7 linked regions of the Ovis aries genome follow. The protein of the gene in region 5 binds, or shares a complex with, the protein of the main gene of each other region. Links are inferred from orthologs where the notes say so. Each region holds a gene or a part of one and is shown on either strand. Other genes may lie near its edges.

Evidence for each region.
Region 1: NUP188 (region 5) and NUP214 share a complex: the UniProt entries of both Homo sapiens proteins name them as parts of the nuclear pore complex. The link is inferred for Ovis aries from reciprocal best matches to the Homo sapiens genes NUP188 and NUP214.
Region 2: NUP188 (region 5) and NUP107 share a complex: the UniProt entries of both Homo sapiens proteins name them as parts of the nuclear pore complex. The link is inferred for Ovis aries from reciprocal best matches to the Homo sapiens genes NUP188 and NUP107.
Region 3: NUP188 (region 5) and NUP98 share a complex: the UniProt entries of both Homo sapiens proteins name them as parts of the nuclear pore complex. The link is inferred for Ovis aries from reciprocal best matches to the Homo sapiens genes NUP188 and NUP98.
Region 4: NUP188 (region 5) and CETN3 share a complex: the UniProt entries of both Homo sapiens proteins name them as parts of the nuclear pore complex. The link is inferred for Ovis aries from reciprocal best matches to the Homo sapiens genes NUP188 and CETN3.
Region 6: NUP188 (region 5) and E3 SUMO-protein ligase RanBP2 share a complex: the UniProt entries of both Homo sapiens proteins name them as parts of the nuclear pore complex. The link is inferred for Ovis aries from reciprocal best matches to the Homo sapiens genes NUP188 and RANBP2.
Region 7: NUP188 (region 5) and NUP153 share a complex: the UniProt entries of both Homo sapiens proteins name them as parts of the nuclear pore complex. The link is inferred for Ovis aries from reciprocal best matches to the Homo sapiens genes NUP188 and NUP153.

Annotation. Positions count from the first base shown.
Region 1 is NC_056056.1:5,537,231-5,540,730, reverse strand, and holds part of NUP214 (nuclear pore complex protein Nup214), read left to right. Parts: intron 1-537; coding exon 538-625; intron 626-2,750; coding exon 2,751-2,812; intron 2,813-3,500. UniProt on the Homo sapiens protein: Part of the nuclear pore complex. Has a critical role in nucleocytoplasmic transport.
Region 2 is NC_056056.1:151,265,837-151,269,336, forward strand, and holds part of NUP107 (nuclear pore complex protein Nup107), read right to left. Parts: intron 3,258-3,500; exon of another isoform or gene 3,126-3,257; intron 2,336-3,125; coding exon 2,266-2,335; intron 1,957-2,265; coding exon 1,838-1,956; intron 864-1,837; coding exon 825-863; intron 475-824; coding exon 324-474; intron 2-323; coding exon 1-1. UniProt on the Homo sapiens protein: Plays a role in the nuclear pore complex (NPC) assembly and/or maintenance. Required for the assembly of peripheral proteins into the NPC. May anchor NUP62 to the NPC. Involved in nephrogenesis.
Region 3 is NC_056068.1:50,105,121-50,108,620, reverse strand, and holds part of NUP98 (nuclear pore complex protein Nup98-Nup96), read right to left. Parts: intron 3,427-3,500; coding exon 3,269-3,426; intron 2,735-3,268; coding exon 2,591-2,734; intron 1,378-2,590; coding exon 1,235-1,377; intron 1-1,234. UniProt on the Homo sapiens protein: Plays a role in the nuclear pore complex (NPC) assembly and/or maintenance. NUP98 and NUP96 are involved in the bidirectional transport across the NPC. May anchor NUP153 and TPR to the NPC.
Region 4 is NC_056058.1:87,599,832-87,603,835, forward strand, and holds the start of CETN3 (centrin-3), read right to left. Parts: upstream 2,801-4,004; 5' UTR 2,674-2,800; coding exon 2,657-2,673; intron 678-2,656; coding exon 542-677; intron 1-541. UniProt on the Homo sapiens protein: Plays a fundamental role in microtubule-organizing center structure and function. As a component of the TREX-2 complex, involved in the export of mRNAs to the cytoplasm through the nuclear pores.
Region 5 is NC_056056.1:7,472,789-7,476,737, forward strand, and holds the start of NUP188 (nucleoporin NUP188), read right to left. Parts: upstream 2,801-3,949; 5' UTR 2,789-2,800; coding exon 2,757-2,788; intron 1-2,756. Other genes in the region: DOLK (dolichol kinase), read left to right, coding at 3,200-3,949. UniProt on the Homo sapiens protein: Component of the nuclear pore complex (NPC), a complex required for the trafficking across the nuclear envelope. Required for proper protein transport into the nucleus.
Region 6 is NC_056056.1:62,092,733-62,096,069, reverse strand, and holds the end of E3 SUMO-protein ligase RanBP2, read right to left. Parts: intron 2,893-3,337; coding exon 2,747-2,892; intron 2,062-2,746; coding exon 1,788-2,061; intron 1,671-1,787; coding exon 1,345-1,670; intron 1,014-1,344; coding exon 708-1,013; 3' UTR 501-707; downstream 1-500. UniProt on the Homo sapiens protein: E3 SUMO-protein ligase which facilitates SUMO1 and SUMO2 conjugation by UBE2I. Involved in transport factor (Ran-GTP, karyopherin)-mediated protein import via the F-G repeat-containing domain which acts as a docking site for substrates.
Region 7 is NC_056073.1:39,067,132-39,070,631, reverse strand, and holds part of NUP153 (nuclear pore complex protein Nup153), read right to left. Parts: intron 1,625-3,500; coding exon 1,268-1,624; intron 1-1,267. UniProt on the Homo sapiens protein: Component of the nuclear pore complex (NPC), a complex required for the trafficking across the nuclear envelope. Functions as a scaffolding element in the nuclear phase of the NPC essential for normal nucleocytoplasmic transport of proteins and mRNAs.

The sequences.
Region 1 (3,500 bases), about 1.9 Mb from region 5:
AGACGACGGGCTACACTTTAACTCTCCACTCTTCTCTGTGTGACAGCAGTCGTGTTACCTCTGTAATAAAAAATAAAGAAGCAGACCTGTTATTAACTAATAGTAATACAAGAAGTCTCTGGAAAAACAGATGCGGCGAGAAAGCCAGCAGCCGTGAAGTCACTACTCAGAGATGTTTCACATGACCTGTTTCCCCTTGGAGTTTCTTTTCCTTTGACATGTATCACATTTCATTAATTGCAGAATCTACTTTTAAAGCCTTAAATTTGACCTGCACTCCAGTTACTTTGATGTCTTTCCTGGAAAGGGTAAAGTGGCATGCCTTGGTTTGAAATTGACAGTTGACAGGGCCAGAGAGCCCATTCAGAGACCTTGAGCACGACCGAGTCCTCACTCTCCCCTTGACTGCTGACCTACAGGAAGCACGTGACCTGGGGCTGCGCTTTGCGTGGCACTAAGCATTCAGTGCCACAGAGAATTAAACTAAAATGGTGTTGGTTTTTTTGTAATGCTCTTCTTTTTTTCCCATAATTCCAGGACCAGTGGCAACCAAGATAGAAACAGCTGTGACTTCTACCCCGTCTACTGTTGGGCAGTTCAGCAAGCCTTTCTCATTTTCATCAGGGTCAGTTGTAAACTTAAGTTTTGTGGCAGATCACAAAATCCTTATAGATTGCTTCTCCAAATCTTATAGTCAGCGGGTATACTTATATGAAGCCAGAGTTCTTATCTCCACAGTGACACATTTAATGATAGTGGGAGTAGCTTAGTGTCCTAATGTAAATCTGTTTGCCCTTTTCGATTCAGTTTTATATGTGTGTTCTTACTGGCTTGTTTGTTTTGTTGTTTAGGATAAGCCTTGTTTGGGTAGTGGGTCTGTGGTTGCTCTAGTTTATCACACCGAGATCTTTTCATTCTGACACCATCTGGCGGCTGGGTGAGACCTTGGATTGGCTTCGCTGCCCCGAGAGGTCACATTATACTAGACTGCTGAGCAATCAAGACAGTGGCCATTTAAGAATTGGGGTTTTATATAGATGTGGGGAAGTCCATTTCTGTTTCATTTTTTTTAAAGTGATGATGTCTGTACTTGTCAAATTGAGTTATTTTTAAAAACAAAAGGGTCTTCTAACCCTCAGTCCAAAGGAAGTTCTTATTAACGTTGGAGGGGGCATACCTTTTCACTATCCTGCGAACACTCATCATGAAACCTGTGAGAGTTGGCAGAGCATCTCTCTTCTTTGGGGTGGAGTTAGTCTCTGTGTGGCTGAGATAAATACTCATCCAAAGATTGTTTTCACTGTGAAGGGTTGCACATTCAGTTCCACTAGAAAAGTCTCTTAAGCTCTTCCAGTTTATGCTTTTGTAACTGGAATCACACTGACCACAGTCTCTTTTCCCTGCTGTGAGTTTGTTTCTTGAACACCCTTCAGCCTAACACATTACGAGAAAGGAGGGTGTTAGAATAGAATTTTAAGGGGGAAATCATATATATTTTCCTGTAAATCATTAGTTTTCTACTCCCCAAAGGTAGTTTGGAGCACAGTTTTAGAGAGTAGGTCAGTTCCAGGAGCTACCGCATCTGTTAATTAATCTTTACTTCTGTGAACCTGATACTCTTCTTCCCGTCTTTAAAATAACCTACAGAGGTTTGGGTCATAGGTCAGCTGCTTACCTCTGTTACATCAAATTTCTTCACCAGAGTTGAGACAAAGAAAGAGATTTGTTTTCTTTTTTTTAAGATGATAAAATATTTAACACATCTTAGGTGGTCTTGGACCATTTGATGAAGCCAGTGACGAGTTTAAAAAAAAACCCAACTCTACTCTTTACTGTTACTTACTCTTTTTGATATGCTCGGCTTTTTATCAGGTTGCCCAAAAAGTTCGTTTGGGGTTTTCCATAACATCTTACAGAAATGCCTAAATGAACTTTTTGACCAATCCAACAGTTTTTAATTTGCTATTTGAACTTTTCTCAGAATGAGTACTCCATTCTGGCTCAGCTGGTGCTGAGTTTTCTTCTTTGCTTATATTGTCTTCACTCACAGGGTGAAGAAAATGTACAGAAAGAGAGGAGAGGATGAAAAGAATCAGATAGGTTTTTGAGGGACTTTTCCTGGTGGCCTAGTGGTTAGGGTACAGCTACAGCGCTTTCATTTCTGTGGGCTGTGTGCAGTGCCTGGTCAGAGAAGTGAGATCCCACAAGCCACTTGGTGCAACCAAAATTTTTTTTTTAAAGTTTCTGAACCAAATTTCCCAGCCGAGGACTAAGCGTTTTGTCCGAACAGCAAAGACAGTGGCTTCCATTTCATACTGTCTGTTGTCTCCCCCAGTGGCATGCGCTGTCCTGACGTGCTCCCTGGGTGGGTCATAGGCTCCTCCTCACCTAGCCCATCCCGTCCGCCTCACTAGGCGAGCCAACCGCTCCAGCCACCATCCCAAGGCACAGTCCTAGTGCTCCTTCACTTTCCTTGAAATAGGTCCCCACCCCCTCTACCATGGGAAGCCTGGCTGTTCCTCCAAGGCCTCCTCACTGGCTGCTTCCCTCTCACCTCACCCACACATCGCTCCCCCCCACGCTCTGAGAGCTCTGCGCTGCTGCTTCAGAGGCAATGCGCTTGCTGATGTTTATCGATAGATTGCAAGTCCCTGAGAGTAGATTATGTGAATGGATTATAAATGTACTGTTAAAGGGCAGTGTTGCGCCTTAAGTCTGTTCGTTTTTAACTTCTTTTCTTCCACCCCTAGGACTGGCTTTAATTTTGGGATAGTCACACCAACACCGTCTTCTAACTTCACTGCCACACAAGGTACAGTCTCTGCATTGAGTCGCCTCACTTTCGTGTTTCCCTCTAAACAAGTGCAGGTTTGAGGGAGGCAGGTTGGTTGACATTTTACTTGCTGCTGCATTTTGCTTAAAGTATCTGCAGTGAACTTGGTGTTGATATTATGCATTAGAAATAGGCTGGATTTAAGAAACTGTGGGGAATGACTTTTGTCTTCATAGTTAAAAACTCAGAAAGGGTTTGCTTTTAGAAAGGCAAGGCTGTGCTTTAAATGTGAATGTTTACACGCAAATTAAAATTTCTTTCTCCATCTTTGTCATATGGTATTTAAAATTATATCAATTTTTAATAATCATAATATGTAGTGAAACTATATGTAACTTTGTTCTGTATTTTCCCAGTTTCCTGTAGAGTGTTATCATACTTTCATAATTTAAAAAAATTTTTTTTGTTTGTTTTGTTTTAAAAAAATTTTTTAAATGAAGTCAAAATTGTATCAATTTGTAGGTTGAGATAGGCAATGGTAAAGAATCCACCTGCCAAGGCAGGAAACGCAAGAGATGCTGGTTCAATCCTTGGGTTGGGAAGATCCCTTGGAGGAGGAAATGGCAACCCACTCCAGTATTCTTGCCTGGGAAATTCCATTGACAGAGCCTGGTGGGCTGCAGTCCACGGAGTCCGACAGGCCTGAGTGATTGAACACACACGCAGT
Region 2 (3,500 bases), about 140 Mb from region 5:
TCTAAAACATTTTTTGAAGGGACAGAAACAAGAAATTACTCATTCACACTAATATTCTTTAAATAATCACAATGATTTAGTAAATCTGGGATAACAATTCTTTAAAATATGAAAGAAATTATAAAAGAAAATACCAAAATTAAAAGATATTTTACACAATATACAGTATAAGTTATTTCATTCCAAAACAGAATTTCATTGAAAATGTCATTCCTTCTTTTCCTCTCAAGAAAAACAGGATTTAAAACTAGAAGGATATATGTTACTAAGACAAAATGATAATCTGCTTACAGAGCCCAACAGATGAAGCCTTCCATTTTTACCTGCCTCTTTAGCCAGCTCCAGGCAATGGTGGCGCTGTTCAAACTCTGTAACACCTTCCAAAAATAATGCATACTGGGCAACAGCAAGGTCTTGAGGCAAATGACAGGTATAAAATGCTATGAGATTTGTATGTTTCTCATTTATTAAAAGCTGAAAAATAGAAAAGGATCAAAATGTTAATATGTCAATAATAAAGCAAGTTCTAGGAACAACAGCACTATTCAATTCAAAATTTTTAACATATTTAGGAGAGATGCATACAGACATAGAGTTGTACTGCTAAACAGGATTAACTTTAAATTCCAAAACAAAGTATTTATGATAATTAACAGATATTTATGTATTTTGATATTTGGTATGATATTTATGATATTTTGATAACCTTTCTGCCACTAGATATTAAAATACTATCATTCTGATTTATGTTTTCATTAAAATGGTCAAAGGAAAAAAAAGAATCAAACTGTGGATTTGATTTTACCTGTTTTACCAGAGTTTACCTGTATGTATGTCTTTAAAACATCAATGGAAATTTCTTCCTTCATAGGAAAAAAACAGATATAATTAAATTATAAATACAGCTGTTTATGTGTACCACCAATACTAATAAAAATCCTGTCATAATGATTTTTAGTATTTACCACTGAGCAATTACTACATGCCTGGAGAAGGCAATGGCACCCCACTCCAGTGCTCTTGCCTGGAAGATTCCATGGATGGAGGAGCCTGGAAGGCTGCAGTCCATGGGGTCGCTGAGGGTAAGACATGACTGAGCGACTTCAATTTTACTTTTCACTTTCATGCATTGGAGAAGGAAATGGCAACCCACTCCAGTGTTATTGCCTGGAGAATCCCAGGGACGGGGGAGCCTGGTGGGCTGCCGTCTGTGGGGTCACAGAGTCGGACACGACTGAAATGACTTAGCAGCAATTACTACATGCAAGGCTAACTGCTTAACAAATTTCTTGTATTAACTTACCCTAACTCTTTGTGAGTAATTACTATTACTGTTCACATTTCAGAGGAAGAATCTAAGACTTAAAGAGGTTTTATTTACCCAGATTTACACCACTAGAAGCTTCTGTGTAAGAATGTGAATCCAAGATTTTTAATTCAAAACCCCAGCTCTCAACTACTACATCATTCTGCCTTCTATGCATACTCTGCCCAAAATGTTACCAATCATTTAGGACAGAAGAAAAAGAAAGAAAACAAAGACTTAAAATCCCACAGAAAACTTAGTCTGGTTCAGTTAGCTTGCTGGTTGATTTCGAGTTGGGTACTGATGAGGACTGAAGTTATAAACTGTCTCCAGTCCAGGTAAACATCAGCATTCTGTAGTCACAGATCAGAACATTAGAGTCATCTGCAGTGAGTTATCACTGAGCGACAATGTGAGACTATGGTCACCATTTTAGAAAACAAAACCCCAAAGTAGTATCATGTTTTCCTAACAACAGATGTATAAAGCGTCAGCCTTGCAGAGAAGAGTATACAGCTCATTTTTATTTACTTTGGTCTGTAGTCCAAGAGTGCGGAAAAACAAAATGAGGTGAGTCATGAAGCGGAGGAGGTGTCCAGGTAGACTGTTCCTGCTTTTGGAAAGCCATTTGCTAAATTCATCCATCAAACCTACAAACCATTAAAGCAAAGATTTAGATGGATACAAATCAAAAAAGAGACATAAACTCTATCCAAGGACATTTATTATATTCATATAGCACTCTTATCAATTCACTGCCTTATTGTTATGAACTACCACATCAAACAGCCTCTGGATTAAAGTCAAACTTTATTTTCTAAAAATTATATAGTTGCAGTCAAATAGGTTGAAAGAGATGACAAGATGTGGTAAGTCATGTGCACTGTTTTGATAACTTTTTAGAAAACTACTTTAAAAAACCAAAGAACTCATGCAAAGTAAAATAAAATATATCTTACCATCAATGTCTCCCAGGATAAGGAATTTTTGAACTACATGATAATGTTCTTGATTCTCTTCTAGAACTCTCTGAAAAAATTTTCACATTTTCTGTAAATTTATTATGGTCATTCTGTAGTATATACTCATTGGTAAGCTAAAAACATAAAGTGTTGAAGGAACATATACAAACAAAGGGCTTCCCCGGTGGCTCAGCAGTAAAACAATCACCCTGCAACGCAGGAGCCACAGGAGACGTTCGATCCCTGGGTCGGGAAGATGCCCTGGAGCAGGGCATGACAATGCACTCCAGTACTCTTGCCTGGAGAATCCCAGGGACAGAGGAGCCTGGCAGGCTACAGTCCATGGGGACGCAGAGTCAGACACGACTGAAACCACTTAGCACACGTGCATTCAGACAAAGAAAAAGCTGGAAATGAAGGGTATTAGGAAACCTAAATAAAGTATGAGAAAGATACTGCCGTTGGGACTCAAGGTTGAACATTATTTTTTGAAACAGAGAACTGTGATAAAACAATTTAATCTCTGTAAATGTTATAAAACTTTTTCTTTTTTCAATTAAAATGCTTTAATCACACATAGACAGATATATTTTTATTAATGTATTTTACTGTTTTCCTTGACTGTGCATGGTGAACCAGAAGAGAAGGGGACAGATGACCAAAGCAAAATAAACTATAAGATTTCCTTCAATATAAACAGTGGGTTTTGGAAGCATTCATCTGCAAATTGTACCAAGAGTAATAAAATCCATCAAAATAGTGATTAGGCACAGAGTAGAAAAAATTTACAAGTAACCTGCTGTTAAATTTTTTTCCTAAAGAAAATAATTTCTATATTTTTGGTCAATTTTTTTTTTCTACATGGGATGGTTGATCGTGAGCCTGCAGCAAGCAAGCTAGCACCGGACTTCTCTAAATCCACATTTCCTTGCCTCCAATTCTTATGTGTCCAAAAGACAGGAAACCATAGACCTGCCTTTGTAGGAGGGTTTTAATTTTTATTTGTCTAAATTTTCTTCCAGCAGTCTTTCTTTCTTTTTTACAAATATTTGCTCCACCTGGAACTGATTGTAATGCATGTCATGAGGCAGAGATCTAGCTTTGTTTTATTTCAGATGGAAAATCAATTATGTCCATACCATGTCTGTAAATAAACCACCCCTCTTCCTCTGAAAGGAAAGGTCATCTGTCCTTTATTAGGTTCTCATATATATTAGAATCTAATACAGACT
Region 3 (3,500 bases), on a different chromosome or scaffold from region 5:
CTTTTCAATCTCTTACAGACATTAAAAAACAATAAGGACAAATTACAAATAACTTTATGCCAATAAATCTGGTGACTTTGGTGAAACAGAAAAATTTCTTAGGAAAAACAAATGAACAAAACTGGCTCAAGAAAAAAACTATTACAACATAAAAAAGAACTATTAGATACCCCCATTAAAGTGGCGGGATGGGGGTGGCAGCAACAGATTTCAACAGACATTTCAGGAAGATATGTAGATGGTAAATAAACACATGAAAAAACGCTTGCCATCATTAGGTATTAAGGGAAATGCAAATTAAAACACAATTTTAGTTATCTGTATTTTACCACAATAAGAGACTATTATTCTAAAATTAGTATAGTTAATTTAAAAAAAAGTACTTAAAAAACTGAAGTGAGATGTGAGCTACTACTTCTGACTGGAGAAAACTGCTCAGTGTTTCTGATGTAAGGTAAAAAGCCAGCTCTGAGATAGTTTAAATTATTTGATTAGATATAACAACATGTTAATATATTAATTTCTTATTAAGCATACAAAAACGAGATGCCACTATATGCCCACTAAAATGATAAAGTTTTAAAAGCCAATAACAAATTTTGACGAAGATCTGGAGCAATTATAGATCTTGATGGGACTTTTAGATACAAGTGGTCACAACAGCTTTATTCTTAATATCCTAAGACCCAAAAAAATTGTTCACTAACAAAAGAATAAAAATTAAATTTCCATTATACATATTAATATGGATAAATCTCAAAATCACCATGTTGAGTAAAAAAAAGCAGGCACAAAAGATAACATACACAATTATATAAAATTCTGTAATAACAAAGTAATCTACAATAATAAAAAGTCAGTAGTTGTCTGGGGTGTGGACTGACTGCAAAGGAACATGAGGGAACTTTTGGAGGGTAATGTTAATGCTATCCAAATAATGATGGTAGTTACATCACATTAAAAAATATCAAACCACACACTTTATTATCAATATATATAAATTGTATCTCATTGAAGTTGATTAAAATAATTGTTTTTAAATTTTTTATTAAAATATAGTTGATTTAAAATGTAAATTTTTAGATTTCTAATTCTAGTTCCCATGCTCTTTGAACTCCATTACTGTTTTATTTTGTGATTAATATAATCTTATGGCAATTTGACCACATATAAAAGGGAAAGAACTCCCTAAGGTTCATGGAGCCCTCAAGTGATTGTAACACGACTGATTTACCTGTCACTGTAGAGTTTTAGAAGGTGAAAGCAGACATCTTGAAGAGGTCTCTGTGAATCTTGCTCCTCCTCTACCACATATCCAGAGCCCTCTAGGTATGAAGGAAGTGGACAGCGGGCATATCTGTCACCCTCAGAGGTATTCTGAAGTTAAGAATAAAACAATACATCAGTTGCAAGTGTGTTTCACTAGATGATGATATATCTCAGTTACTCAGATGTATATTAAGAATGGTGTGAAAGTGAAACTGAAGTTGCGCAGTTGTGTCCGACTCTTAGCGACCCAGTGGACTGTAGCCCACCAGGCTCCTCTGTCCATGGGATTCTCCAGGCAAGAGTACTCGAGTGGGTTGCCATTTCCTTCTCCAGGGGATCTTCGTGACCCAGGAATCAAACCCAGGTCTCCTGCATTGCAGGCAGACGCTTTAACCTCTGGGCCACCAGGGAAGCCCCAAGAATGGTGTGACATCCGCTAAAGGATTGTTTCAAGGATTTTAAACTTCATTACACTTAGTTTTTTTTTTTAGTGTTCTTTTTTCCCTGACAAATAATTCTGGCAAATGATATCAAAGACAATAAAAATTAGCAGTAAGAAAAGAACCAAACAATGGCATTAAAAACATCAAGAATACTTTAACCTCCAAATTCACAAGGAATATGAAATATTAATATAATGATATTTAGAGGCAAATTTCAGACGTGCTAATTTGGGGCTATACTAAACACAAGGTCAGGCTGTAGCTCAGGGAATTCCCAAAGGAATAAAACAGCATTAGGAATGAAGAAAAACCCTCTGATGATGGTGCAGAAAAACAGCAGTAAGAAAATATATTGTGAGATTCCCTGACGGTCCAGTGGTTAAGAATCTGTCTTGCAAGGCAGAAGACACTGGTTCGATCCCTGGTCCAGGAAGATCCCACATGGCAAGAGGCAGCTGAGCCCATGTGTCACAACTACTGAAGCTCACATGCCCTAGAGCCTGTGTTCCACAAGAGAAGCCACCACAACGAGAAGCCCGCACACTGCAACTAAGAAGTAGCCCCTACTTGCCCAACTAGAGAAAGCCTGAGTGAGGCAACAAAGACCCAGCGTAGCAAAAAATAATACAATCACTTTTTAAAAAAAGAGTAAACTGTGGAAACTCCTTGTGTTAAGCAAAACATAAGCAGATATTTGAAGAAATTTCCCATCATTTCCTGTGTCCATTTCAATTTTACGGTAATTTCAAAAAAGTAGTTAGAAAAAAGTATTGCAAAATATGATTTGATGGTTTTTTTTCCTCTGGAGTAGGAGTACTTTTCTAGTAAAACCAGAACTCCCACCAGGACTCGTGCTTGGTTCTACTGGATATATGTACCTGAAATGCTTCTTCATACACGCTGAGCGCCTTGGAAATGGAAGCTGTTGGTGGAAGCAAATACCAAAGATGGACAGCCAGGGAGCGTTTCCAATCCAACTGGGAGCACACATTGATTTGCTTCTGCTCTGAGAGCTGCCACACCTGCAGGAGGCAAAATCACCACCACAGCTCTACATTATATGTTACCTTGTTATTGCCCAAGCCTGCATGCTGCTCACTTATTTAAACTGCATTTTAAATGATTTAAATATCAGTGTTAATGGCCCAGATATAAACTACACAGTTCCCTGGTGGCAGGTGACTGGGTGGACTAAATAGGAGGCACTTAGACAATAAGTGCGCTGAGAAGTGATGAGAACCACTCACTGCCCACAGTGGCCAACTTTTTAAGATGTGAATAAATTCTGATCAGTGACTGTGTTTTCGGAAATTGATGGCAAGCAAAACAGGTAGGCACCAAGAAAACTGGCTTAAAGTCATTATGATACATCATACATAAAATGAAAGAGAAGTGGCACCTTTCTAATTTGAAAATATTTCTGCTCAAAGTTAAATATAAGTTGCTTAGTTATAGGTAACAACATACAACTTAAAAGATAGCTCTTTGCCTTAACTTCAAGTAATCCTGAATCTATGAAAATATTTATGTGAGTTCACAAGAAAAGAGGAAAATACCGGTTTTCCAGCCAAGAGGGCAAAGATGCGCAGTCTCTCCTCCTGGATGAAGCAGTCAGCCTGGAGTTGATGCCAATCCACCAGCTGCATAGTAAGCAGCTCACGAACTGACTGGCTGCCAACCAACTGGGATAAAAGAAGAGCAAGACGATGATCACCTACAAGAAAAAGAAGTTCTTTGGTGACGCTGAGGATTCATAGACTTGGAAAAACACTTAGGGGCATTATCTTA
Region 4 (4,004 bases), on a different chromosome or scaffold from region 5:
TAAATCCTTCAGTTTCAAATATTTTAATTATGTGAATGAAAAATAAGCCCCTCTATAGGAATATATTTTTACATTTAAAATATTATTCATTTTACCATGTGAAAAGGAGTTTCTAAAAAGATACAAGTACTACTCAACTTTTGGAGAAGGCAATGGCACCCCACTCCAGTACTCTTGCCTGGAAAATCCCATGGATGGAGGAGCCTGGTGAGCTACAGTTCATGGGGTCGCTAAGAGTCGGACACAACTGAGCAACTTCACTTTCACTTTTCACTTTCATGCATTAGAGAAGGAAATGACAACCCACTCCAGTGTTCTTGCCTGGAGAATCCCAGGGATGGGGCAGCCTGGTGGGCTGCTGTCTATGGGGTCACACAGAGTCGGACACGACTGAAGTGACTCAGCTTAGCTTAACAGTAAATGTTTAAAATGGTTTACATTTCCAAAACCAGTTCAATTAAAATATTTAGAAATGCATTTTTAATCAGTGGACAAAAATGCAAAATGTTTTAATAGAAAAGATATATTTTAAGTGTATTACCTTTAATTCATGATAATCTATTGCTTCATCTTTGTCTGTGTCAAATAGTTCAAAAGCATCTTTAATTTCTTGTTTCTGTTCTTCAGAGAGTTCTCTTCTTTTTTTCCTCTTTGTTTTGTCTACTACAAGGTCATTTCTATGGAATGATAAGAAAAAAGTCTATTTAGTCCACTTTAATCCTATTGTCATATGCTTCTAAATGATAAAATTCCAAAAATGCAACAAAAAAATTAGCCAATGAATGTTTTAAACTTCTAAAAAGTATTTTATAAAAAATTTCCTTACATGAATCAAAGCCCTGCTCAATCCATTGTCTAAGCTGCTTTAAATTTGTACCTCCCTAAAACTGAAAAGTTTTACAGTTTTAAAAGGTTATTAAAAGAAATGAGGACCTAGCTTTTCCTCTTCCTAGCTTTGTATTCATTCCCACTAATATTACTGTGGAAGAAACAAGAACTGTGAAAAAGAAACAGTTCTGTCAGAAACCCCAACAAAAAACAAACACCCATACTTATTCTCATCATTCTACAATACAGACTGTTTTAAAAAATAAGAATTCAATTCACAATTGTTGATCTCTATATATTAGGTTTACTTTCATAGTGCTTAGAATTATCAAAATTATTGCCAAAAAATCTAATTCATCAATTAATTTACAAACTATTTTGGCACAGTTTAGACTAGTATTTTTAGACTACACATTTTAAACTGGCACTTTTTTGTAATTTCTCCCATTGATATTAACAAATCAGCCAAAATAATGAACGTAAGCATACCACGAATATCAAACACCAAAAAAGTACTTAATATTTGTGGTATTTTATTTATATATAAGGTGAAGAGTCAACTGTCTCATAAATCTCAGCATGTACATCTAGACAGTTTGTCACAAACTCTGAAAAAACTTAAAGTACAAAACGTAATTTACTCTAAAAACTAGAAATGTATTCCTTAAGAGGTGCCAATATAAGCATTTCAAATTTTCATATGGGGCTTACAACACTTGTACAAGCTTTGAAACAAGAATTCTATAAACTTTAAAAATGTAAAAACCAGTTGACTTTTCTTTAATTCTGTGAAATCTACTCTAAAAAGGCAAGAGATGACTAGAAAATGACCAAATGAGGTTATGATAAAGCTCTTTCTTTCACAAGAGACCTGAATTCACAAAAACTTGGAAACTCCGGGGGTTATTCTCTTCCCAAGATTCCGACCAGACCAAAGTTCACAACCCACCGACAGTAGACCTCATTTCCTCGTCAGAACTCGCTTCCTTTTTACTGAAGCGTAACTACATAAACACTTTTAAGGTAAAACTTTTAGTTGTGGTTGGGAGAGGGAGCAACAAACAGTGGGTTAGAGGTTGGAAATGAATGAAAAGTAAAATCAGAAAATTTAGGAAAGCTAAGAGATTACCAACTAAAATCACTAAAAGGGGCCTCTGATTATACCCTTTTGCAGGGCCCCAGGAGAAAGAGGAGAGGTTTTGCGTTGTTTCCAAAATTTACGGGTAAATATGTTAGTAGGGGGCTTCCCAGGTGGCTCAGTGGGTAAAGAATATACCTGCAATGCAGGAGACGCAGGTTTGCAAGATCACCTGGAGGAAGGCAGGGCAATCCTCTCCAGTACTCTTGCCTGGAGAAACCCACACCCAGAGGAGCCTGGCGGGCTACAGCCCATAGGGTCACAAAGAGTCTGACACGACTGAAACGACTGAGCACGCATGTTAGCAGAAAGTCGGCCGAGATGGAAGCCGTGGACAAGGCACTGAACCAAGGGATGCTCCAAGGCCTGGTTTCCCGGTTTCTCGCATAAACACCGCGCATTGAAACCTCGCGATATTTCCCTGCCTCCTCAAGACTACCTCAGCCCGGCTTTTTGGCGGTCTAAAGCCAGTGCCCTGACAGAAATGACCGCCTCAGCTAAAGTGCAGAGCTCACCAGGGCCCCCAAGGGGAGGGGTCTGGGCCCGGGAACGTTGACCAAGGATCCCGTCCCTCGTCCCAAACTGCATTCCCTTCCTCGCTTCGGCCCCCAGCTGTTTCCCTTCCACACACAACCGCCCTGGGGCCCGCTGCGAGGTGTGGAGTGCATCTGCCGTCTCCTCATTACCGACCTCAGAGCTAAACTCATTTTCTCTTCGGACTGAGGCGTTCCTCTCGAGAACGATTTTAACCCCCTACCCAGAGCAGCAAGACTTCCACAAGCCGTTCGACAGACGCCAACGACCCTCAGCGGTCTCAAAAACCTCCCACAAAGCAAGACACTCCTGAGCTGGATTGGTTGAAATCGCTAACGTCCTGCCCATTGAGGCGAAAGCGTCACTTGTCCTCTGCTCTCATTGGTCTTATTTCACGTCAATCAAATAGATCTCCCTGCCGGCATCCCCTGCTACGCCTCTCCCCCTGTAGATTGGCCTGTTGCTTTCCGCCCCACCCCCACGCCCCACCCCAATCCTAGAGAAGCTAGGACTCAGGTGGGAGGTGGCGAGCTATGCTTCTGACCAGAAAGGCTGTGGCATGTGGCCCAGTGTCCGGAGACCCGGTGGAAAGGGAAGGGATGAGATACGCCGCAGGCTCTCCTCCGGCTAGAAGGAGGGAGCGGCTTTCGAACTGTGTCTGCGAAACTTGACTCTACTGTATTGTACATTTTTGGATGGTTTGAGTACATGGGGAGTGTGTTTAAAACGCAGATTTAAATATCACTCATTCTAATTTCTAGTAGGTGTGAATCTGCATTTTTTTATACAAACTTCAAATGATTCTGAAGCAGATACTGCGGATTATATTTTGATAATCACTGAGTTGGATTATTAGGCTATTTAAGGTTGAAGCTGTACCTAAGGGCCATTTGCTCCCCTATTCCTCCTTTGAACTGGTTTGTTCGTTTTTGTCCTTTATTTTCGAGTGCTGTAAGCTGCTTATACTCATGATGTTATCTTCACCACCAAACGAAGTCTCTTAAAGCTCACTTGGACATTTAATATCTTTACTGTTCATCTCTCCTACTAATCTTAAAAGGCTTATATCCTTCATTTAACACTATTCCTAGTGCCTAAAACAATGTATGATTCGTTGTAAATGTCTGATGCCTCTGCTCCGTAGATATTTGTTGCATTAAATGGAATCTTGCTGTGAAAAATCGCAAAGTACTGAGCTAAACTGCAAATCTCAAAAAGGAATGAAATAGCCAGAGAGTAGGTGTCCAGTAACAGAAGAGGGAAGATATTGATATATAAAACTGTGGCATAAATATAAAGAGATACATGTACACGTTTAGAGAAGAGAGAGAACACAGAAGGTATAAGAAAGACTTCTTGAAGGAGATGGCATATATGTTAAGCCTAGAAGGATGAGCTAAATTTGGGTAAGTAAAGATGGTAAAAACATCCACTTCCACTTTATTGACTATGCCAAAGCCTTTGACTTTCAGATCACAACAAACTGTAGAAAATTCTGAAAGAG
Region 5 (3,949 bases):
TAGATTTTTTTTTTTGCCTTTTATGTCTGACGAATCGGCTTTTTTGGGGGGTGGAGAGGGGAGAAAAAGATTCTGCTACAAAACAAGACTGAAGTAATGCAGTAACTTTTATACTTACTAATTAAAAGAAGAAAATAGCTATTTCTTTAGAAATATTCTCATTTGCAAAACCAAGTCATAGCATGGTCTTTTTGTTATAAGGTGTCAAAAATAATGTTTATTGAAAACAAGCTGGCTAACAAGATGAGCCAACATTTACTGAGCAGTTATGTGGGGGACCGTGCTAAGTCTTTAATGCTTTGTCTTACTGAATATTTCAACTGACCTATGAGGCAAATACTATCCGTATCATCTCATCAGGAAACTAAGGTTTCAGAGTGGTTAAGTAACTTCTGTAAGGCCACAAAGCTAATATTTAATGGAACCAGGGCTTGAACCTAGGCTTGCAAGACTCCAAAGTTTAATCATTGTAAGACAGGGCGTCAAGTTGTACCCAGGAATTCACTCTGCAAGCAGATAAAGACTGAGGTGAAGTTTTCTGTCCTACAGTGGTATATCATACTCTAATACCGGGGCTGGCACACAGCAGGCCACCTCAATGAGAAGCCTGCGCACCACAACAAAGAGTAGCCCCTGCTCACCACAACTGAAAAAAAAAAAAAAAAGCCCACACAAAAGCAATGAAGACCAGCAGAGCAAAAACTAACAAATCAATTTTAAAAAAACAAAACTCCAAGTCCCTTTCAGACCTGCAAACTAACTGGAACAGAAAAACTAGAAAAAAAAATTACATGCAGAAGTGCCAAGACATGGCAGAACAAAAGAGAAAACTGTAGCTTATCAGAAAGGAAATCATCCTAGAAATGAGTGTTACTGGCTCCTCAATTCCTACACATTTATGATCTAGGAATAACGGAAACCAAATAAATCTAAGACCTTCACGACACTCATAAACTTAGTGTTGGGAATGATAAAGGATGTTAAACATAACACATTCAGCTAAAAAGTAGAAAGTACCAAAGGGCAGGACCCTAACAATTAGACACTACAAGGAATATAACCACAAATGACAGAAAAGAGTCAGAGAAGACAGTGATCACTAGGAACTAACCCAGGGATTGAAGGAAGACTTCACCTCAAACAGACCTGGAGGTTTGAGCAGGTGATTCTCAAGACTCAACAGACAAGATTGGAATTGTGATGTCCAATTCAAGCCTCAGGGTAACATTATCTACATATACTTTCAAGAAATGAAATAAGTGCTACAGTATCTGTCATTTATTTGCACAACAAGTAAATAAATTTGAGATAAGTACAAACTAAGGCACAGAAATTAAATAATTTGCCTCAAAAGTGAGATTCAAAAAATTTATTGACTTGCAGCCCAATGTTCTAGCAGACAACATGGAACTCCACTTCTCTAAAAGCTGGAGTAGGTGGAAATAGGAAATAATCAGAGATATCCACGTGGTTGGAAACCTTTGGATGAAAGCAACTAAGAGATTGGAAATACCACGGAAGTAAAAATCCCTTTCATTAAAGAAGCCGCCTTGCCCTGCAGGAGCTAAACTTTACCCAAGATCCACAAGGACTGTAAGATAAGCCTGAGAAAAAGAAAGCACGGTGACCACGATGCTGCCCGACATAAGAGCTGACATGACACAACGGATGGAGGAAGAAGCAAACCGGTTCTCACAAAGTTCAGAAGCAGTTCAATGGACATTCCACAGATGAAAATCTCACTCAACAGAGAGGTGAAAGAAGCGACAAGTGGAATAAACATTTACTGAGAGTCTATTACTGCTCTTCTGGGTGTTGAGGCTACAGCAGTTAAGTGAAGAGGACAAAAAAGTGGGGAGACGTTGCTGGAACAAGGGGGAAAAAAAAGTGGCAGGCGCGGTTGGGCGGGACGGGTGGAAGGGAGAATGGAGAACACTTTGAAGCTACAAGTGAGAGATGCAAGTGCGGCGATCCGGCTAAAGCTTCCGAGTGGGACACTCCAGCTGGGAGCTGGGTTTGTGAGTCATCTGTAAATTACAAGGTGCCTCCCCAGAGTTGTGGGAGTTCAAGGAGATAACGCGGAGAACCAGAAAGCGCGTCGCCAGGGTTTGGCGCTAGTACGCTAGTAAGAACTGTCTTTTTAATATTTTCTCTTCCTGCCCTTTTAAAGCCCAGTAACAGCGCCCGGGATGCCGACTGAAGGAATCAGTGCAAGAGAAAACAACTAGATGGATGAATGAAAGAGCGGCGGAAAAGGGCAGAAACCGCAAGGAGGTGGTTCCGCCACTCGCGAAACAGACCTCCCGGCAAGAGCACATGGCGGAACCGGGGGAGAGCCCGCCGGGCACGGGAGGCTGCGGCGGGGACCGGGTGGGGGCTCCCCCGGGCAACCGCGAAGCTCCCCGTCGCGCCTCGAGGGAGCGTCACACCGGACAGGAAGCGCGGTGAGGGGGGGAGGGGGCGCCGAGGGACGCGCCGCCGGGAGAGGGGAGGGAAGGAGAAGGGCCGGGTGAGGAGACGGGAGGCCGGCGCCTCGGGAAGGGGGGAGGCGCCGGCCCCCCTTTCACAGAAGTCGCCTCATATCCCCGCGCGCGGGGACCGTTTGGCCGTAACCGCCTCCCGTCCCGGCGCCCGTACACCTAGCCGGCCTTCATCCTGCCACTGCCGCCACATCTCGCCCTCAACTCCCGCCCCGGCTTGCGCTTGGTTTGGACCCCGCGCCTCAGTCATCCCCGCCGACTCGGCCCGCTCCGCACCTCACACACGGACCGCCGGCGGCAGCCGCCATCTTCGCGCGCGCGCGCGCCCCCAGCCCCGCCCCCAGACGCCACGCCCACGTGACCGCGCGCTTCCAGGGCGTGGACCGGGTTTTCGTCACGTGGGTGCGGGGGCGGGGCCAACATGGCGTTGCCGGGAGAGGTGAGGAACCCCAGGCAAGCGCGGCCGAGGCTGTGAGGGAGGTGGCAGAGGGGAGACGTCTACGCCGTGAGTGGGAACTGGTGGAGGAAAGCCTGACGCCGACTCCCAGGCAGCATAGAGTGGCCTACAGTGGAGCTTCCTTTCTGGAGGAAGCTGAAGAACGGAGAAAGAAGGTGCTGGCAAGGCGAAGCTACCGCTGTCTGCCGGGCGGGGGTTAAAGGGCCAGAGTCCAAGGCATCCCTAGTCACCCCGGTTTTCCGTGGGTCCGGAGTCTAGAGACATGACCCGAGAGTGCGCTCCCCCGACCCCTGGGTCCGGGGCTCCGCTGAGTGGCTCCGTGCTGGCAGAGGCGGCGGTGGTGTTCGTAGTGGTGCTGAGCATCCACGCAGCCGTGTGGGATCGATACTCGTGGTGCGCCGTGGCCCTCGCGGTGCAGGCCTTCTACGTTCAGTACAAATGGGACCGGCTCCTACAGCAGGGAAGCGCGGTCTTTCAGTTCCGAATGTCCGCGAACAGCGGCCTACTGCCCGCTTCGGTGGTCATGCCTTTGCTAGGACTGGTTATGAAGGAGCGCTGCCAGGCTGCGGGGAACCCATATTTCGAGCGGTTCGGAATTGTGGTGGCAGCCACGGGCATGGCAGTGGCCCTCTTCTCCTCAGTATTGGCCTTGGGCATCACTCGCCCGGTGCCCACCAACACCTGCGTCATCTCTGGCTTGGCTGGAGGCGTCATCATTTACATCATGAAGCACTCGCTGAGTGTTGGCGAGGTGATCGAGGTCCTGGAGGCCCTGCTGATCTTTGTGTACCTCAACATGATCCTGTTGTACCTGCTGCCTCGCTGCTTCACCCCTGGAGAGGCGCTGCTGGTCCTGGGTGGCATCAGCTTCATGCTCAACCAGCTCATCAAGCGCTCTCTCACTGTGGTGGAAAGCCAGGGGGACCCCTTGGACTTCTTCCTGCTCGTGGTAGTGGTAGGCATGGTGCTCATGGGCATCTTCTTCAGCACCCTCTTTGTATTCATGGACTCG
Region 6 (3,337 bases), about 55 Mb from region 5:
AATGCAGTTTGAGGTAGTAGAAACAGATGACAGAAAGGTTTTTTAAACAATAATTACTCAACTTAAAATGTAAAAATTAATTTAATACCTTTGAAAGGGCGCAGGAAGCTACGTATTTTAAGGAAAGAAGGTACTCTGCTTAAAAGAGAATTTAACTATACAGGAGGTGCAAGAATTTATAGAAGAGCACTTTGGTTAAGTCTCTGCCCTCTGTGGCTCTACCCATTTACAAGTGAATCTGTTCATAACTGAACACACCAATAGTTAAAATTACCAAATATAGTCCAAATCTGAAATAAAAATTATCCAAGTCATGGTCCCTTTATTCAAACAGTAAGTATATCCATGCAGGAAGTCTAATATCTTAAAAGGAACTAAAATTAAATTGCATATATCATATTCTTTCAATAGTTTGAGAAGGTCTATTGCTTTTAACAAGATTAGTATTCCATTTTAATACAAATATGTCAGGAGTACATAAACACAAGTACACCTGAAAATACACCAGTGTTTAAACTTTTATTTCACACCATGCAAGGTCAATTATAACACATTAGAAAGTGACAACAGCTATAAGCTGCAATTTTACATTTGTACATTGGAGTCCATTTTCAAAAGCTGAACATAATTAATTACCATGTTGTCAAAACAGCTAGGCCTCAATTCAACTTTTATACAGGTAAAATTTACTATGGAAAACAATGATTTTATATCTGTCCACATTCTGTGATAATAATTCTTCGACTAACAGACCCTTTAGGAGAACCAAATGACTCAATCTTTTTCACAGTATCCATACCATCTTTAACAAACCCAAATACTACATGCTTAAAGTCCAAACAGTCTGCTTTTTTCAGTGTTATGAAAAACTGAGAATTATTGGTGTCCTGGCCTCGATTGGCCATTGATAGTAAACCAGGAACTGTATGTTTCACATTAAAATTTTCATCTTCAAATTTATCTCCATAAATGGACCGTCCTCCTGTTCCATCATGTTTTGTGATATCTCCCCCCTGAAAAAAAGATTTCAATTAACAGGAATCACAAATAAAACATTAAAACACATACAGAACTAACCACTGAAGGGGTGGTCCTAAATACCCAGCTTCTCTGAGAATGCAGTTTGAAAAAACTAAGAAATTTGTGAAAGGAAACAAAAATGAAAAGATCTTTTCCCACCCTTAATTTCTATCAGGTTCAAGGCATTAGAAATATGAACGCTTTTAGGCTGCAAGTTCTTGTGGGGATAGAAGCTGGGGGTGTGGGAAAGCTATAGTCTACAATTACAGGTAAGGAGAAACACTCAGATTTCCCACACTGGTGTGATGCACACTTAAGACTTACTTGGCAAACAAAATCTGGAATCACTCTGTGGAATATGGAGCTCTTGAAACCAAAGCCCTTCTCTCCAGTGCACAGTGCTCTGAAGTTCTCAGCAGTTTTAGGAACAATGTTTGAAAATAATTCCATGGTTATGCGTCCCAGGGGCTCATCATCTGCACAAATGTCAAAAAACACCACAGGATTTGTCTCCTTTGAGAACTCTGATGTCAGTGATTTCTGGGGTTTCAATAAATTCTGTTGACATTCTTCAAATTTTTTCTTGAAACAATCAGCCATTTCTTTAGTTTTAAATCTCACTGCAAGCTGTTCCACTTTGGCTTCTCCATCTGTTAAACAACACAATGGCCTTAGTGTTAAAATAACTTAAAAAAAATTGTTTTATATATTTGTTGTCAATTTAGAAAAGTAAAAAACTGGAAAGTAGCATTGAGTGCAGAGCTCACCAGCATAATCTGAGGCAGTCCAAACTAAAGCATTGTTGGAAACATTCAAGGGTTTCAGTTCCATCGTCTTGGTGATGACATGGTTCGCACACACTTTGAACACCTGGTCTCTCCTCATCAGAATCCGAAAGTAATTCTTCACCGTGTGCCAGAGGATCTTCATGTCTCCAACGCCACGCTCTTTCCACTGACTGGCCTCTCGATCCCACCTGTAAAGTTTGGCTCTCTCTTTAAATAAAATTTCTTCATCTTCTTCTCCAGATTTTACTTCTACCTGTGACAGGAGATGAAATTACCTATAAGCTGCTGCTTATAAAATACTCATAACAAATTCCAAAGATCCAAATTCCTTAACACACTGACATGAACAGAATTTGAAAAGAGTTAACATCCTAGGGTTACTATACGGCAGATTCGGATGAGGCAGGAAAGATTTGTCATTAAATGTTTTCTTTGTACTTATTAACATCCTTCCTCTTTTTGGAAATCAAATACAATCTTTTACAGGAGAGAAGAGGTTAAAAAAAAAAAAATCTTGTTCTTCAAGAAAAATACTATCTGCTGACTAAGGTTCAAACTGATGAAAGTAATTTGCCTAAAATAACATTCCTGTCTAGAGAAAGTACAATATACTTTTTATTGAAAGGACTGTGGCAAATATCAGCTTAGATGGGTTTTTAATATTTTGCTCCTTCAATTATGTTATTGAAAACAAACAGGAAAAAATTAAGTTCTTCCCAACAATTTCACACAGAATTTTCCAAATAACATTTGTATGTAAATTTTTTTACAAGGATGATTTACATTTTAAGATTGAACTTGTAATAAAGAGCTTCCATTTGTAATGGTCAATGTTCTGAAAGAAATGCAAACAAGGTCAGCCCTACAAATCAAGCCCATGTCAAGTTTTAAACTTAAAATGTGAAGTTAGTATAAGGTTTTTACACTTTAATATTTACCTCTGGTAGTGACACTATTGGTTCAAAATGGATATCTTCATTATGAACTACCTCTTCATCACTACCATCTTCATCTTCGCCAACTTTACCAGTTGACTGTGCTCCAAACACTGCTGCTCCAGTATTTGCCCACTGGAAATTTTTATCTGATGAATAAATTAGGATATTTAAACAGTGATATCTATTTTAATAAGCTTTTAATCCCTGTTACAGTACTTTATGAATGAATCTAATTTCCAATGATGTGACATACTTCTAATAAAAATGCTTAAAACTGCATTCTCCTGGCAAGTTAAGCTCAAGTGGTGAGCACAAAGGAATGTAGTAACATTTACGCCTGGGTATACAGACAGGGTTGTATAAGCCTTAGGTCTTAGTGACACTGAACTTTTAGTAATAAAGCAGGTTCTTCATTCAAAGTGCATCCTTTGAAACCTGAAAACACAACACAGCTCCAAGGGTAGTTTATTTCATAAAACATTCTATTACATGAAAAAAGTAACTTTAGAGCCTAAGAATGTTCTCCAAGAGGCCAAATCTGCTACTTTGAAAGCAGACTGATTACAAGTTGGTAACTTCTCCACCTTAGCT
Region 7 (3,500 bases), on a different chromosome or scaffold from region 5:
AGTGGTTTTCCCCATTTTCTTCAATTTCAAGTCTGAATTTGGTAATAAGGAGTTCATGATCTGAGCCAGTCACTCCCAGCCTTGTTTTTGCTGACTGTATGGAGCTTCTCCATCTCTGGCTGCAGAGAATATAATCAATCTGATTTCAGTGTTGACCATCTGGTGATGTCCATGTGCAGAGTCTTCTGTTGTGTTGTTGGAAGAGGGTGTTTGCTATGACCAGTGCATTTTCTTAGCAAAACTCTTAGTCTTTGCCCTGCTTCATTCTGTACTCCAAGGCCAAATTTGCCTCTTATTCCAGTGTTTCTTGACTTCCTACTTTTGCATTCCAGTCCCCTAGAATGAAAAGGACATCTTTTTGGGGTGTTAGTTCTAAAAGGTCTTGTAGATTTTCATAGAACCGTTCAACTTCAGCTTCTTCAGCATTACTGCTTGGAGCATAGGCTTGGATCACCATTATATTGAATGGTTTGCCTAGGAAACGAACAAAGATCATTCTGTTGTTTTTGAGACTGCATCCAAGTACTGCATTTCGGACTCTTTGGTTGACCATGATGGCTACTCCATTTCTTCTAAGGGATTCCTGCCCACAGTAGTAGATATAATGGTCATCTGAGTTAAATTCACCCATTCCAGTCCATTTTAGTTTGCTGATTCCTAGAATGTTGACATTCACTCTTGCCATCTCCTGTGTGACCACTTCCAATTTGCCTTGATTCATGAACCTGACATTCCAGGTTCCTATGCAATATTGCTCTTTACAGCATCAGATATTGCTTCTGTCACCAGTCACATCCACAACTGGGTGTTGTTTTTGCTTTGGCTCCATCCCTTCATTCTTTCTGGAGTTATTTCTCCATTGATCTCCAGCAGCATATTTGGGCACCTACCAACCCGGGGAGTTCCCCTTTCAGTATCCTATCATTTTGCCTTTTCATACTGTTCATGGGGTTCTCAAGGCAAGAATATTGAAGTGTTTTGCCATTCCCTTCTCCAGTGGACCACATTCTGTCAGACCTCTTCATCATGACCCACCTGTCCTGGGTGGCCACCAAGGCATGGCTTAGTTTCACTGAGTTAGACAAGGCTGTGGTCCGGAATTATATTAAACTCAAAATGTACTTCATTCCACACTGAGTAATTACAACATCCCAGCTAGAAACGACCTAAATGCAGCCATGCCTTCTTGTGATATTATACACTAAGAGATCATCTACTTATAATGAAAGCCAATTCAACTACAACATGTTTTTGTCTTTAAACGTACCTGCAGAGCTAGATGTGGTTGTAGCTCCAAAGTTGAAGCCAGAGCTTGCAGCATTATTACTGCTGGCTCCTGTGCCAAAGACAAATGGGGCGACAGCTGTACCCGTGCTTGATGTGGTTGCTGGTTTGCTGTCTTGAGAAAACAGCAAAGACTGAGATGTACTAGATTCGGCAGCATTTCCAAAGGCAGAGCTGCTCACGGGATTGCTGGCCTGTCCAAACACAAAGGCAGCCACAGGCGCGCTGGAGGACGAGGTGGAACTGCCAAATATGCCACCACCAGCTGAAGTGGCTGGTGCACTTGAATTAGAGGAACTGCTGTTCAAGAAACTAAAAACTGGCTTGGCCGCACCTTGATCTGTAAGATGGAAATTAAGAAACAAAATTCTTTAAGAACAAGTAATAACAGAAGGCATTTTTTTCCTACCCCAAAATCTTAGCATCCATTAGCAAATAGAATCATTACTGCTTATGCTGCTGCTGCTGCTAAGTCGCTTCAGTCATGTCCGACTCTGTGCGACCCCACAGATGGCAGCCCATCAGGCTCCCCCGTCCCTGGGATTCTCCAGGCAAGAACACTGGAGTGGGTTGCCGTTTCCTTCTCCAATGCGTGACAGGGAAGTCGCTCAGTCATCTCAGACTCTTAGTGAACCCATGGACTGCAGCCCACCAGGCTCCTGCGTCCATGGGATTTTCCAGCCAAGACTACTGGAGCAGGGTGCCATTGCCTTCTCCGAGAATCATTAAGATTTTAATATAAATTAGTTCATCGAATGGAAATTTGTTAGATTTTGATATAGTCAAACACATAAAACTATTCATATATATATATATATGCACGTAATATTTATGTGTATTTGCAAAGTATACATATATTTTTAAATACTCCTTAAATCCAAATCTCACTGGACACCACTATCTGAATTTGCTGTCCAGACTAGTGCACCCTAGCCTGCTCACTAAGTTGTAACTCTACAACATACTAAACTGCCAAACCTCTACAGCTACCGTTGCTGGACTGTTTCAAATACTGCAGCCTTATAGCATTGCTGGATATTAGTAGGGCAAACCTGACGGTATGCCAGCCTTTCTCTCCACAATTCAAGTTTTCCCTTCCATATGAATTTTTAGAATTATTTTCACATGTTAAGTTCACAAAAATTCCTCTAAGAACTGAAATTCTATTGGGGCTGAGGTAGAGAGGAAAGGATATTCACTCAGGAACAAGTATAAAATACCTCATTTATGTTCTCTTATTTATGATGTTGCAGGTTCTGCTGACATTATAAAACACAAATTGGAACTGTTAGAAAATATAAATGGGATATGCTACCAAACTATTCACTTTTGATTTGGAGGAAAGCTATTGATTCTTTATATGGTGACCCTGAATCCAGCTACCTTTAGTAGACGACTTTTTTAAAAAACTTGTTCCAATAATCTCTCAATTCCAACACTATCTACTAGACAGGGCTGGTCACACTGCAGTATGGGCACCAATATAACTGACAGTAAATGTAATAGGTCACTTTCAAGTTGCTTAATAGGATGTTGAAAATGCATGTTTCAATGGAAATAGTATAGTGATACTAGGATTAAATTTGATTAGACCCTATCTCATTTTTATTCCTTCTAAGTAATAATGGATAATTTAGTTTTTGCTTTCTTTGAAGGGTGTTTTTTAAGTAAAATTTTATAGATAAAAACTGCTCATACCTAGGTGCTGAATTCCATACAAATATTTTCAGGTTAATTTTTCATTTTCTTGTGTTTCCAATTTATTATTCAAAAGTGTTCATACGTATTCAACTTTTGATTCTTTGCTTGTCTGAAAAACATCTGTATGTTGCTCTTACAGTCTGAAAGTATTTGACTGGTTAACAGAATTCTCAACTCAAGACCATTTTTTCATTTTGAGGTCACTGCTCTACTGTTTTTGGCATTCCATGTTACAAATGAGAAGTCTGATGCTAATCTGATAATCTACTTGTGGCAAACTCTTTTCTCTGAAAGCATTCAGGATTTTGGCCCTGGTGTCCTAAAATTTCACTGGTCCTTCGCAGTGAACACGTCGTTTTTAAGACCAGTGTCTTTCTTTACATGTGGGGAGTTTCCTCCTGTTGCTTCTTTGGTATTTCCTTCATACTGTCCTCATCTTCTACGCACTCCTATTCCAATGGAACTTGTGGATATGGCTTAGATCTGTTCTTTTACATTGGGTTCTGGGAAATTCT